Sus scrofa: one gene and its partners. The protein of the gene in region 2 purifies or fractionates together with the protein of the main gene of each other region. This does not show direct contact. Links are inferred from orthologs where the notes say so. Each region holds a gene or a part of one and is shown on either strand. Other genes may lie near its edges. The genes, in order: MFN2, MARCH5 and MFN1.

Region 1 (3,366 bases), on a different chromosome or scaffold from region 2:
CAGGAAAGCCCAAGGATGGGCCTGAGTATGAGCAGCAGGACCTGAAGCCAGGACTCCTGACTCCTTAGACCCATTCCTGCTCTAGCAAACCGCCAGTGGTCGCTCTGGCTTTGGGCAAAGAGCCCTGGCACATCTGGGCTCTGCCAGTCCCTGGCTACCTGGCCAGCCTGCCTGTGGGCACTGGTGCTGATAGGCTGCCGTGCCTGGGCTCACAGAGAGATGGTGCAAAGTGAGGGTTCCCGGCCACTTGGGAGACAATACAGGACAGCCAACGTGTGGTGGGTCAGAGGGTGCGGGAGCCTCAGCACACCCGGCTTCTCCCACTGGCTTGACTGTCTACTGTGGGGTCCCACATGAGGTATCAAACCTCTGTAGGCCTCAGTTTTTCTTTTCATAAAATGCAAGTGATGATACAGCCCTGAAGAGACGGTGAAGATGGGGACAGCAAGTGTCATGTGCCCGAGGGGCTGCAGCTAAGGACGTGCCCATGAGCTGTCACCTCCCAGGACGGGGCTTCCTCTGCGGCCTCCGTGGCCAGCCTCACCTGAGCAGTTTGGCTTTGCTCTGAAGTGAATCGAGAACCTCGATTTTCCTGTTCATGGCGGCAATCTCCTGCTCCAGGTTCTCCCGGGTCACGTCGACTTGCTGGCACAGGTGAGCAAAGGTTCCAGACAGCTCCCTGCATGCGGAGAGAGTCAGGATCAACCAAGACATGCAGCGGCTGCCCACGAGGTCTGTTGGTGGTGAATCCGATGGCGGGCAGGGCAGCAGCCAGTCCACCTGTCACGCTGGCAGCTGTGCCCTGTGCCAGTCCTAGGCCCGGTCTGGCAGACTCTCCCCCCACCCCCTGCTGAGACGGTGGACATCATAACCAGCGCACACACCAGCACCACCCGGAGGGAGGGCCAGGAGCACAGGGCACGACGCCCCGGCTTGGGCACAAAAGTCCAGGACTCAGAGCCCGGCCCTGAGTCAGCCAATTGCAGGACACATGTGACTCCTCTTCAAATCTCCATTTCCTCATTTTGAAAAAAGGAGATGCCTATAAAGACACCTCCCTCAAAGCGTTCAGGGAGAAAAAGAAAAAATTAGGTGCAAAATGCCTAGCAGTCTGGCACATAGCAGCAAAAGGCAGGCAGCTAGCACCTTCCCCCTTGCCCCCCAGATCAGGTGATCCATCCCACATGACCTGGGATGCGCCACAAAGAACTGGCTGTGGCTCAGAACATCGAAGCTATACCCACACCCAAGCCCTTCAAGGGAACCCTCAAAAGATGCTACAAGTAATGGCCCTCATCCTCCCATGTCTTCTCTCCTTGGAGGACCAAAGGCCTAACTGGTCCCAGCCCAGGACACGAGGTGTCCCTAAGAGACTCCTCTCCCATCCCTGGCCTCCACACTGGCACTGCGCAGCTAGAGGCTGAGTCAGACAACGCTCAGGGCTACGGCTTCCAGGCCAGGCTAGAAGGGAAGCTGGGGGGCGTCCTGAACCACCCTTGGGGCTGACGGGGCCACTCACTGCTGGACTTGGTGGCTACAATTGGAGCCGGTGTAGCTGATGATGAGCTGCAGCTTCTCGCTGGCGTACTCTACAAACTGGCGCTTGAAGGCCCTCTCCTTGGCCTTGGTGGTCCAGGTCAGACGCTCGTAGACGTAGAGGAGGCCATAGAGGCCAAGGGAGAGCGCGATGAGTCTCCAGCCCACAGCCTTCCACACCTGCAGAGGCACCGTGTCAGCCGCCTCGGCCTCCCTGCCATCCCGCTGCCCATCTTCTCAGCCTGCTGCTGCCACAACTTTCCCAAGAGCCTCGGTCAGGGAGCCTTTGAGTTTCTACTCAGAACACGCCACCCCCAGGGCATGCAGAACTTCCCAGGCCAAGGATCGAACCCACATCACAGCAGTGACCACACCAGATCCTTAACCACTAGGCCACCAGGGAACTTCAAGAACTATCCTTTCAGTGTCTTCTTTGGTCCTAATGAGGTCAGAAGGGCAGGGACCATCTCTAGTTTGGAAATAAGGGAAGCTTAGTGTGGGCCACGTAATACAACTTGTACAAAAGGTGGGGGAGCCACCTCTGTGGCTTTGAGGACCAGAAGCACAGGTCCAGGCAGGAAGAAAAATTTTTTTTTATGGCTGCACCCACCATACGGAAGGTCCTGGGCCAGGGAGTGAACCTGAGCTATAGCTATGGCAACACTGGATCGTTTACCCACTGTGCCGGGCTGGGGATAGAACCCACACCTCCACAGCGACCTGAACTGCTGCGGTCAGATTCTTAACTCACTGCACCACAGCAGGAACGTCAGCAGGCAAAAATCTTAAAGACAAATGCTAGGTATTCTAAAGGGACATTCCATTCTGGCGACAACGACAACAAGCAGAATCCTGCATGTCGTTCCCCAGTAGATGGCTTCTTTTGGTCTGGTCTGTAATACTTTGGTTCAAGGCAGTGCAGTTACAGTCAAAGAGCACTGGACTTGGAGCCAGAAATTAAGGCTCTAAAACTGCCTGCAATCCTGGCTGTGTGACCTTGGGCAAATCTGTTTATGCCTGTCTCCTGCTAAAATAAGACGAATGGCTTCCACCCAACTCCCAGAGTTGTTTGGGTAAAATGAGACACTGATTATAAAAGGGTTTCATAACCATCAAGGGTCAGCTTCTCAGCTAATGACCTTCTGCCAGGTCACCGGCTATGAAAAAAGAACCAGAGCATGTACCACCTGCAGACCAGAAGGGGGTGGCCTCGGCTCCAGCAGACCCTAGTTTTACCAGCTGAGAATGCAGCTCCTGGCAATTCAGTTACAATTAGGTTCTGCCAGCATTCCCTAACGGCATGAAGAAAATTCAAGGCATAAGTTACTCTGGCTGCAGTGTGTCTTGGGACAAGACTGGGGAGTATCCTGGTTATCAAGAAGGGGTACCCTCGGTCATCAAGGAGTACCCTGGGAGTTCTCTTCATGGCTCAGCGGTTAACGAACCCAACTAGGATCCATGAGGATGTGGGTTCAATCCCTGGCCTTGCTCAATGGGTTAAGGATCTGGTGTTGCCGTGAGCTGTGGTATGGGTCGCAGACACAGCTTGGATCCTACAATGCTGTGGCTGTGGCACAGGCCGGTGGCTACAGCTCTGATTCGACCCCTAGCCTGGGAACTTCCATATGCTGCAGGCACGACCCTAAAATAGCAACACCCCCCACACACACAAAAACAAAACAAAAAAATGAAGGTGTACTCTGTTTATCAGAAAGAAGTACCCTGGTTACTAAGAAGGAATATGCTGGTTATTAATAAGGAGAACCCTGGTTATTAAGAAGGGTACACTGGTTATCAAGAAGGAGCACCCTGGTTACTAAGAAGGAGAAC
Region 2 (3,652 bases):
GCATTGCACTGAGGACATGCCACTCTGGCTGTACTGTTTCCTCTTTGTTTTTCATCCACCCAGCGCTGTAGACAAGCCTGGTGAACCCATTTTGTAGATCCTCTGCATCTGCATGGTCTCACCCATTCAGCTGTTCTATCATCTTCATCAGTGGCAAAACATACCCAGCAACTTCTATAAATCAAAAGAGAAAATAACCACATTATCTTTAAGACCCCAGCCTCCTCTCCACTGCAACTCTCAATGGGATGAGTCTACTATGTTACATCATAGAACTTTCAATTCTATATTAAAAGACTGAGGAGACAAAACAACCAACACATTTCCAGTAGAGTGGTTTCTTCTTTTTGTTTTTCCTTGTATTCTTCTGCAGAATCTTAAACGTTTTCAGAATATTGTTTTTGTGTACTTCCTCCATCTTTCTAGTAATTCTTCACCTTCTCTAATAAACCAGAATGTAGAAACAATTCTCAAGCTGCTTTTTTAAGACCTAATAATTCTTTGAAGAGTGGTAAATACAAGAATATGTGAAATTCAGTGTATCTCTCATTTCATCAACATTAACCTCATAACCTCTTGAACTTGAAGAACTAAGGTAGTACACAAATTATTTCACATATGGTCTCATTCAATTTTCAACTAAGACAGGAAAAAACCCCCACTCATTTTTCTTTCTGGTAAAGTATGACTATAAGAGAGAAAGATGATTAAATTTAAAAAGTCCAAAGGGAAGAATGAAGACATCAAGATAAACTGTTTTAGGACAGTGATATGGTAAATTTGGGCCTACATGTTCTATTATAGGTATGACTGTTTTCTTTTTCTGTGGGAATTAAAAATTCTGAAATGATTAATTTTAAAACAATTTTCCTATTTCGGTTTTAAGAATACTTCATGAATTCTAATTTATTCTTGTGGAATCAGGTTGCAATTCCTTTTTTTTTTTTTTTTTTTTTTTGGTCTCTTTGCACCCACAGCCTATGGAGGTTCCCAGGCTAGGGGTTGAATCGGAGCTGCAGGTGCCAGCCTATGCCACAGCCACGGCAACGAAAGATCCGAGCCACGTCTGCAACCTACATCACAGCTCGTGGCGGCAATGCCTGGACCCTTAACCACTGAGCAAGGCCAGGGATTCAACCTGCATCCTCATGGATGCTAGTCAGTTTCATTTCCACTGAGCTATGATGGGAACTCCAGGTTGCAATTCCTTATTTGTTCTCCCAATTAACACAAGTTTTGACACCAATTTCCATTATGGCACATACAATTTAATTCAATGACACCATTCACTGCCTGCCCCACCATCCACAGTTAAAGTTTGACTGCACAAAAGGAAATAACTGCTAATTAAAGCTTGTTACCTACTGTGCACTTTTCATATAATTAGATAAGTGATTTCTGTCAAAACAACTAGCTAACTATGCACAGTGGGAAAGCCTATATATATATAGCTAGGTACTAGAGATGGGTGAGGTCTCCAGTCTTTGTAGAACAACATGAATTTTAATTGTGTGCTCCAATTAAAATTTTTCAATTAGAATAGAGAAAAAAACTGAACTGAATACATGGCAACAAGATCCAAAACATGCTTTTACTCAGCTTTCAAATTTAGGTTTCTCACATCTACCTAGGTAAAACTGGAGGTAGGTAGCATTTGTTTGAGCATGCTCTCTGATCCACCTCAGGCAAGCTGTCTGGGCCCTCATGCTATCTTAAGCTTATTCAAAAATGTCTCCTTCTCCACCTTCTGAAACTTATACTTTAACCATTTTTTAAGACTACAGTTGTAGCATTAAGTCATTCACACTGTTGTCCAACCATTACCACTACCCATGATTTGACTGGGTTTCACCAGTTTGTTTTTTTTCTCATAAAATTTCAATTGACAAGTAAGGAGCATATAGACCAGTTAATTGTGTTAGTACATATTTTCCCCATTAGGAAGGTGATTTTTTTTTTTTTTTCTTTTCTTTTTAGGGCCATACCAGTGGTATATAGAAGTTCCCAGGTTAGGAGTTGAATCGTAATTATAGCCGATGGCCTATGACACAGCCACAGCAATGCCACACCTGAGCTACGTCTGTGACAACGCTGGATCCTTAACCCACTGAGCGAGGCCAGGGATCGGACCTGCATCCTCATGTATCCTAGTCAGACTTGTTACCGCTGAACCACAATGGAACTCCCTTCTAAGTTTCTCATATCAACAATGGAACATAATCAGTATTAAGGTGAACTGAATTTTAAATTAAGCCAAATACCAGTCATTAGGAAATAAAACGTAAAAGAACCTTAATACTATGTCACATCAAATGAAATGGCCTTTGTCTGTTTTTTGACTTACATAAATAGCAGTTTCATATACTAATCTAATGGGAATACTTGTATATCTATAATCCCCATAAATTCTGGATAGATTTAAGTTTATTTTTCACCAACATTTTACAACAAAAAATTTCAAAGCTTCAAAAAAAGTTGAAAAACTGCTTCTGTTTGGTGAATACCATATTTGTATCTAGATTCTATGATTCTTTATCATTTTGCTATATATGTGCTTTACCATATATTAATTCCATCAATCCATCTTATTTTTTGATTCATTTCAGTTTCAGACATACTTTATCCCTGAGTACTTTCAGTTTTACCTTTTAGAAGGTACTCAACTGACATTTAAAACAGGATTTTTTTTTCCTTTTTAGGACCATACCTGCAGCATATGGAAGTTCTTAGGCTAGGGGTCCAATCAGAGCGGCAGCTGCTGGTCTGTGCCACAGCCACAGCCACAGCCATGAGGGATCTGAGCCGCATCTGCAACCTACACCACAGCTCACAGCAACACTGTATCCTTAACCCACTGAGCCATAATGTGAACTTCAAAAATAGGATTTTTTTTTTCCTAATTTCACCACTATGGTAGATAAGATAGTTGGAAAATGATACACAGTAAAAAGTTAGGCATTAAACCTAACTGGAAGTGTTAATACCAATAACCTTGTTTTATTATTGTTTTATTCATAGTGACAGTATACAGCTTACTAATTTGGATTTTGAAGCTTATGCTCACTAGAGATTAACTGAAATTATCCTACAGAGGAAATAATAATAAAGAAAACTTACTGATAACAATACTCTCAAAAAGTTTTGCTGAGTTTCAACATCTACCAACTTACCACATCCATTTCCTACTTATTTCAACTGCTTAACAATAAATCTGATGATGGCCATCTGAGATCAAATAGTATTACCCATAATATGTAAACTTCTGGTAACACCACCAAATTACTGGATCTAAATATTATAGTTTTGGGTTCCCTTGTGGGGCAGTGGGTTAAGGATCTGGCATTGTCACTGCAGCAACTCCGTTTGACCAATGGCCTGGGAACTTCCACATGCTGAGGAGCAACCAAAAAATAAAAAAAATTAAAAATTACAGTTTAGATACAAATAAACGAAGTGGAAACATCTAACTTAGTAACAGTACAAAATAAGTACACAACTGAAAACTACAGAAATTGACCACAATTTACTGAGCATTTATGATTCCATGTAGTTTCACTGGTTCCATGTGGCTACATAAACAAAATAAATGGAAGATGGTATCTACCTGGAAAACTATAATTTACTTGGGGCTACATCTAGTAGATGCAAGAGA
Region 3 (3,652 bases), on a different chromosome or scaffold from region 2:
CTAAGTGAACTATTACAGTCCAAGACTCAAAGTATATTGATACCTTAAAGCAGGTCACTTTCTAAGGTAAAGAAACTTAAATTCTGGAGCAGGGAGAAGAGTAAAAGAGATGAAGAAAGAGGACTGCAAGAACAGCTCACTGATCGGGAAAAATTAGATAACTACCTTAAAATGTTATAGCACACTTGACCTTGAGGATCTTAAGTCACAGGCAGTTTGAATTCTGACTTGGTAAAATTCTTGATTAAAAAATAAGATATTCCTTCATTTGTATGGATATAAAAGTTAGAAATATATTTTCATAAAAATCATCTCATTTATTGCTCATAGCTAATCTAAAGGCTATTACACAGATTGAGTTACCTGCTCTGATCAAACAGCAAACCCACAGGACTAGATCTATGAATTCACCTACAGTTTAGACAAAAATAAAATGACATGGAACTTCACACACTGAACTTTTGCATTTGTGGGAGAGATCTTAAGACTTAAGAGAAAGTGACTACAGTGAGACACAGGGCCTTTACCAAGTGATTTCATTCCAGAGTAAACATCTTGCATCCTAATTGCTTTCTCTTTTCTTCTGGCTGAAAAAAACCTAGTGCCACTTAACTCCTTAAGAAACTTATTATGGGAGTTACCACTATGGCTCAGCGGTAACGAACCCAACTAGTATCCATGAGGATGTGGGTTCGATCCCTGGCCTCGCTCAGTGGGTTAAGGATCTGGCATTGCTGTGAGCTGTGGTGTAGGTTGCAGCTGTGGCTTGGATCTGGCATTGTTGTGGCTGTGGGGCAAGCAGGCAGCTTCAGCTCCAATTTGACCCCTAGCCTGGGAACTTCCATATGCCACAAGTGCAGCCCTAAAAAAAAAAAAGAAACTCATTATGAAAAGTAGGGATAAGAAATCACCACTGGCCTTTATCTGATAAAGCTACAGCATTTTCTCATGAATATGCTTACCAAATATTCTAAAGGCAAAAACCACTTCTAAAGGCGCAGACGTGTCAAAAACAGATTCCAGAGACCATTTTTTAAACAAAGTTTTCCTTAGAAAGACAAGATTTGAAACTAAATAGCAACAATACACTTTAATAATGTTCTTTTCACTAAGTGAAAATAGTATAAACTTTTTTTTTAACTTTTTTTGTTTGTTTTTTTGTTTTGTTTTTGTTTGTTTGTTTTGTCTTTTTGCTATTTCTTGGGCCACTCCCGCGGCATATGGAGGTTCCCAGGCTAGGGGTTGAATCAGAGCTGTAGCCACCTGCCTATGCCAGAGCAACCTACACCGCAGCTCACGGCAACGCCGGATGATTAACCCACTGAGCAAGGGCAGGGATCGAACCCGCAACCTCATGGTTCCTAGTCGGATTCGTTAACCACTGCGCCACGATGGGAACTCCCAATAGTATAAACTTTTAATTCTAGTTCAATTTTTTCTTTCTGGCTACACTTGAGGCATGTAGAAATTCACAAGCTAGGGATCAAATCCAAGCCACAGCAGTAACCAGAGCCACAGCAATGACAACTGGTAGGCCACCAGTGAAGACCTCTAATTATTTATTTTTTTTAGTGATTTTTATTTTTTCCATTATAATTGGTTTACAGTGTCCTGTCAATTTTTAATTTACTTTTAAGTTAAAGACAAGTTTTATTCTTACAGTAATTCAGCTCTGAAGCAAAATAATTTCAGAAAATTCAAAAATATTAGTGATGGTTTTAAAAGCTATGAATAGAAATACTAATGGTTCTTCTGTCTCTAGCAAGGCACCCATTTCGTGAAAAATTTTTTAAAAGGACATGTTAAGGACATTACTTCAGGTACATTATGTTGCCAAAGGTCAAATCATATACCTTCACACTCTTTTTTTCATCTGACCCTTCTGTCATGAGATAGGCTTTATCTCCATCCGTTCCTTCAACGCTCAGGAAGCAATTGGTTGTATGGCCAATCCCACTAGGGAGGACTTTATCCCACAACATGGCATTGATAACAGAGCTCTTCCCACTGCTTGTCCTGAAGAATATACAAAATCATGACAAAACATAACGGTAAAAACTTTGTTCACTGGCTCAAAGGCCTACATTTTTATAATGCAGATTCTGTGAATTTCATCAGATTCCATTTTTTTATTAAAAGTTGACAACTTGATTTACACAACTATTACATCACTTCTCAGTGAAGGCCTCTTCCCTCCCACTCTGACTCCATCCTAACCTGAGGTAGGGCCTCTTTCTTAGACCTACTTCATGCTAGACTGTGTAAGTTCTGAGAAACAAACAACATAAAACAAAACAAAACAAAACAAAAAACCCAGAGCTTGGTGAAAAGTTTTCAAGAACACAAACAGGTTGTTTTAGTAGAGAATAACTGAGAGTGGTCAGAAAAAGTTTCTGCCTGAAAGAGTGAGGAGCCAGACATAGAACAAGGCAAAGAGAATTCTAGGCATAGGAAATTCCAAGTGCTAAAGATATAGGAAATAGCTTAGAAGGCCTACAAGGTTAGTTCAGTGAATAAATAAAACCCTCTGTTGGTATATGGCTCATGATATCTGAACAACCAAGCTAAGGGCCTAGTGACTGTTTTTAACAGAGTGGTTGGTACATACATACACAGTTAACAAATAATCCTTAAATTTTTTGTCTTTTTAGGGCTACCCGCAGCATATATGGAAGTTCCCAGGCTAGGGGTCAAATCAGAGCTGTAGCTGCTGGCCACAGCAACACCAGATCTGAGCTGCACCTGCAACCACACCACAGCTTACGGCTGCATCCTCATGGATACTAGTCTGATTTGTTTCCACTGAGCAAGATGGAAACTCCCTGACCCTTTAAATTAATGTATAAGCTGTGGCAGAAATCACTCTTATCACTCTGGAAGTTACACTGAGGAATGGTACTTCCTATTTCCCTCTGGGAATCATGGAGCTGAAAATTCTTTTGGAAGACACACTGGTAATCAGAGAAGCTTAAAAACCTAAGTCACAAATTTTATACTTGTCACTTACCTGTTTTTCTATATGTATAATGTCTAACAAGCCAATTCTTAGAGATGAGTATCCTTAAAGTATAAAAATATGATTGACCTTCATAAAGCTTTATTTATTTATGTAGTTATTTTTCTTTAGGGCTGCAGGTGCAGCATATGGAAGTTCCCAGGCTAAGGATCGAGTAAGAGCTGCATCTCCCGGCCTATACCACAGCCATAGCAACACTGGATCTGAGCCCCATCTGTGACCTAAACTGCAGCTTGTGGCAATGTTGGATCCTTAACCCACTGAGCAAGGACAGGGATTGAGCTCACATTCTCATGGATATTAGTCAGGTTTGTTCCCACTGAACCAAAATGGGAACTCCATTAAGCTTTATTTTACACCAGGAGCTAAAACAAACTTTTAACATTTAACACAGGCTGAAAATGTTGTGAAGAGAAAAGGTGGAGGGAGAAGCTATCACTTGCAGAAATATCAGAAATGAATTTGCAGATATGACCAAGAAAAGTTAATTTCTGCAAACTACCCTTGAGAAAAAAAATAATAAAGGATTACCTGCCAAAAAATGCCACTTTCATGTGTCTCCGAGACAGCACCTCGCCAATAACGGAAAGCTTGTTTTTATACCTCTGTATTTCTATCAAGTCATCCTCAACAGCT

Evidence for each region.
Region 1: the proteins of MARCH5 (region 2) and MFN2 purify together in Homo sapiens (affinity purification with mass spectrometry; 5 studies listed by BioGRID and IntAct, counting the BioPlex papers as one, with this or other methods). This does not show direct contact. The link is inferred for Sus scrofa from reciprocal best matches to the Homo sapiens genes MARCHF5 and MFN2.
Region 3: the proteins of MARCH5 (region 2) and MFN1 purify together in Homo sapiens (affinity purification with western blotting; 4 studies listed by BioGRID, with this or other methods). This does not show direct contact. The link is inferred for Sus scrofa from reciprocal best matches to the Homo sapiens genes MARCHF5 and MFN1.

The regions. Positions count from the first base shown.
Region 1 is NC_010448.4:72,050,397-72,053,762, reverse strand, and holds part of MFN2 (mitofusin-2), read right to left. Parts: intron 1,717-3,366; coding exon 1,520-1,716; intron 680-1,519; coding exon 545-679; intron 1-544. UniProt on the Homo sapiens protein: Mitochondrial outer membrane GTPase that mediates mitochondrial clustering and fusion. Mitochondria are highly dynamic organelles, and their morphology is determined by the equilibrium between mitochondrial fusion and fission events.
Region 2 is NC_010456.5:103,891,692-103,895,343, reverse strand, and holds part of MARCH5 (E3 ubiquitin-protein ligase MARCH5), read right to left. Parts: intron 175-3,652; coding exon 1-174. UniProt on the Homo sapiens protein: Mitochondrial E3 ubiquitin-protein ligase that plays a crucial role in the control of mitochondrial morphology by acting as a positive regulator of mitochondrial fission and as an important regulator of immune response.
Region 3 is NC_010455.5:117,408,977-117,412,628, reverse strand, and holds part of MFN1 (mitofusin 1), read right to left. Parts: coding exon 3,548-3,652; intron 2,017-3,547; coding exon 1,854-2,016; intron 1-1,853. UniProt on the Homo sapiens protein: Mitochondrial outer membrane GTPase that mediates mitochondrial clustering and fusion. Membrane clustering requires GTPase activity. It may involve a major rearrangement of the coiled coil domains.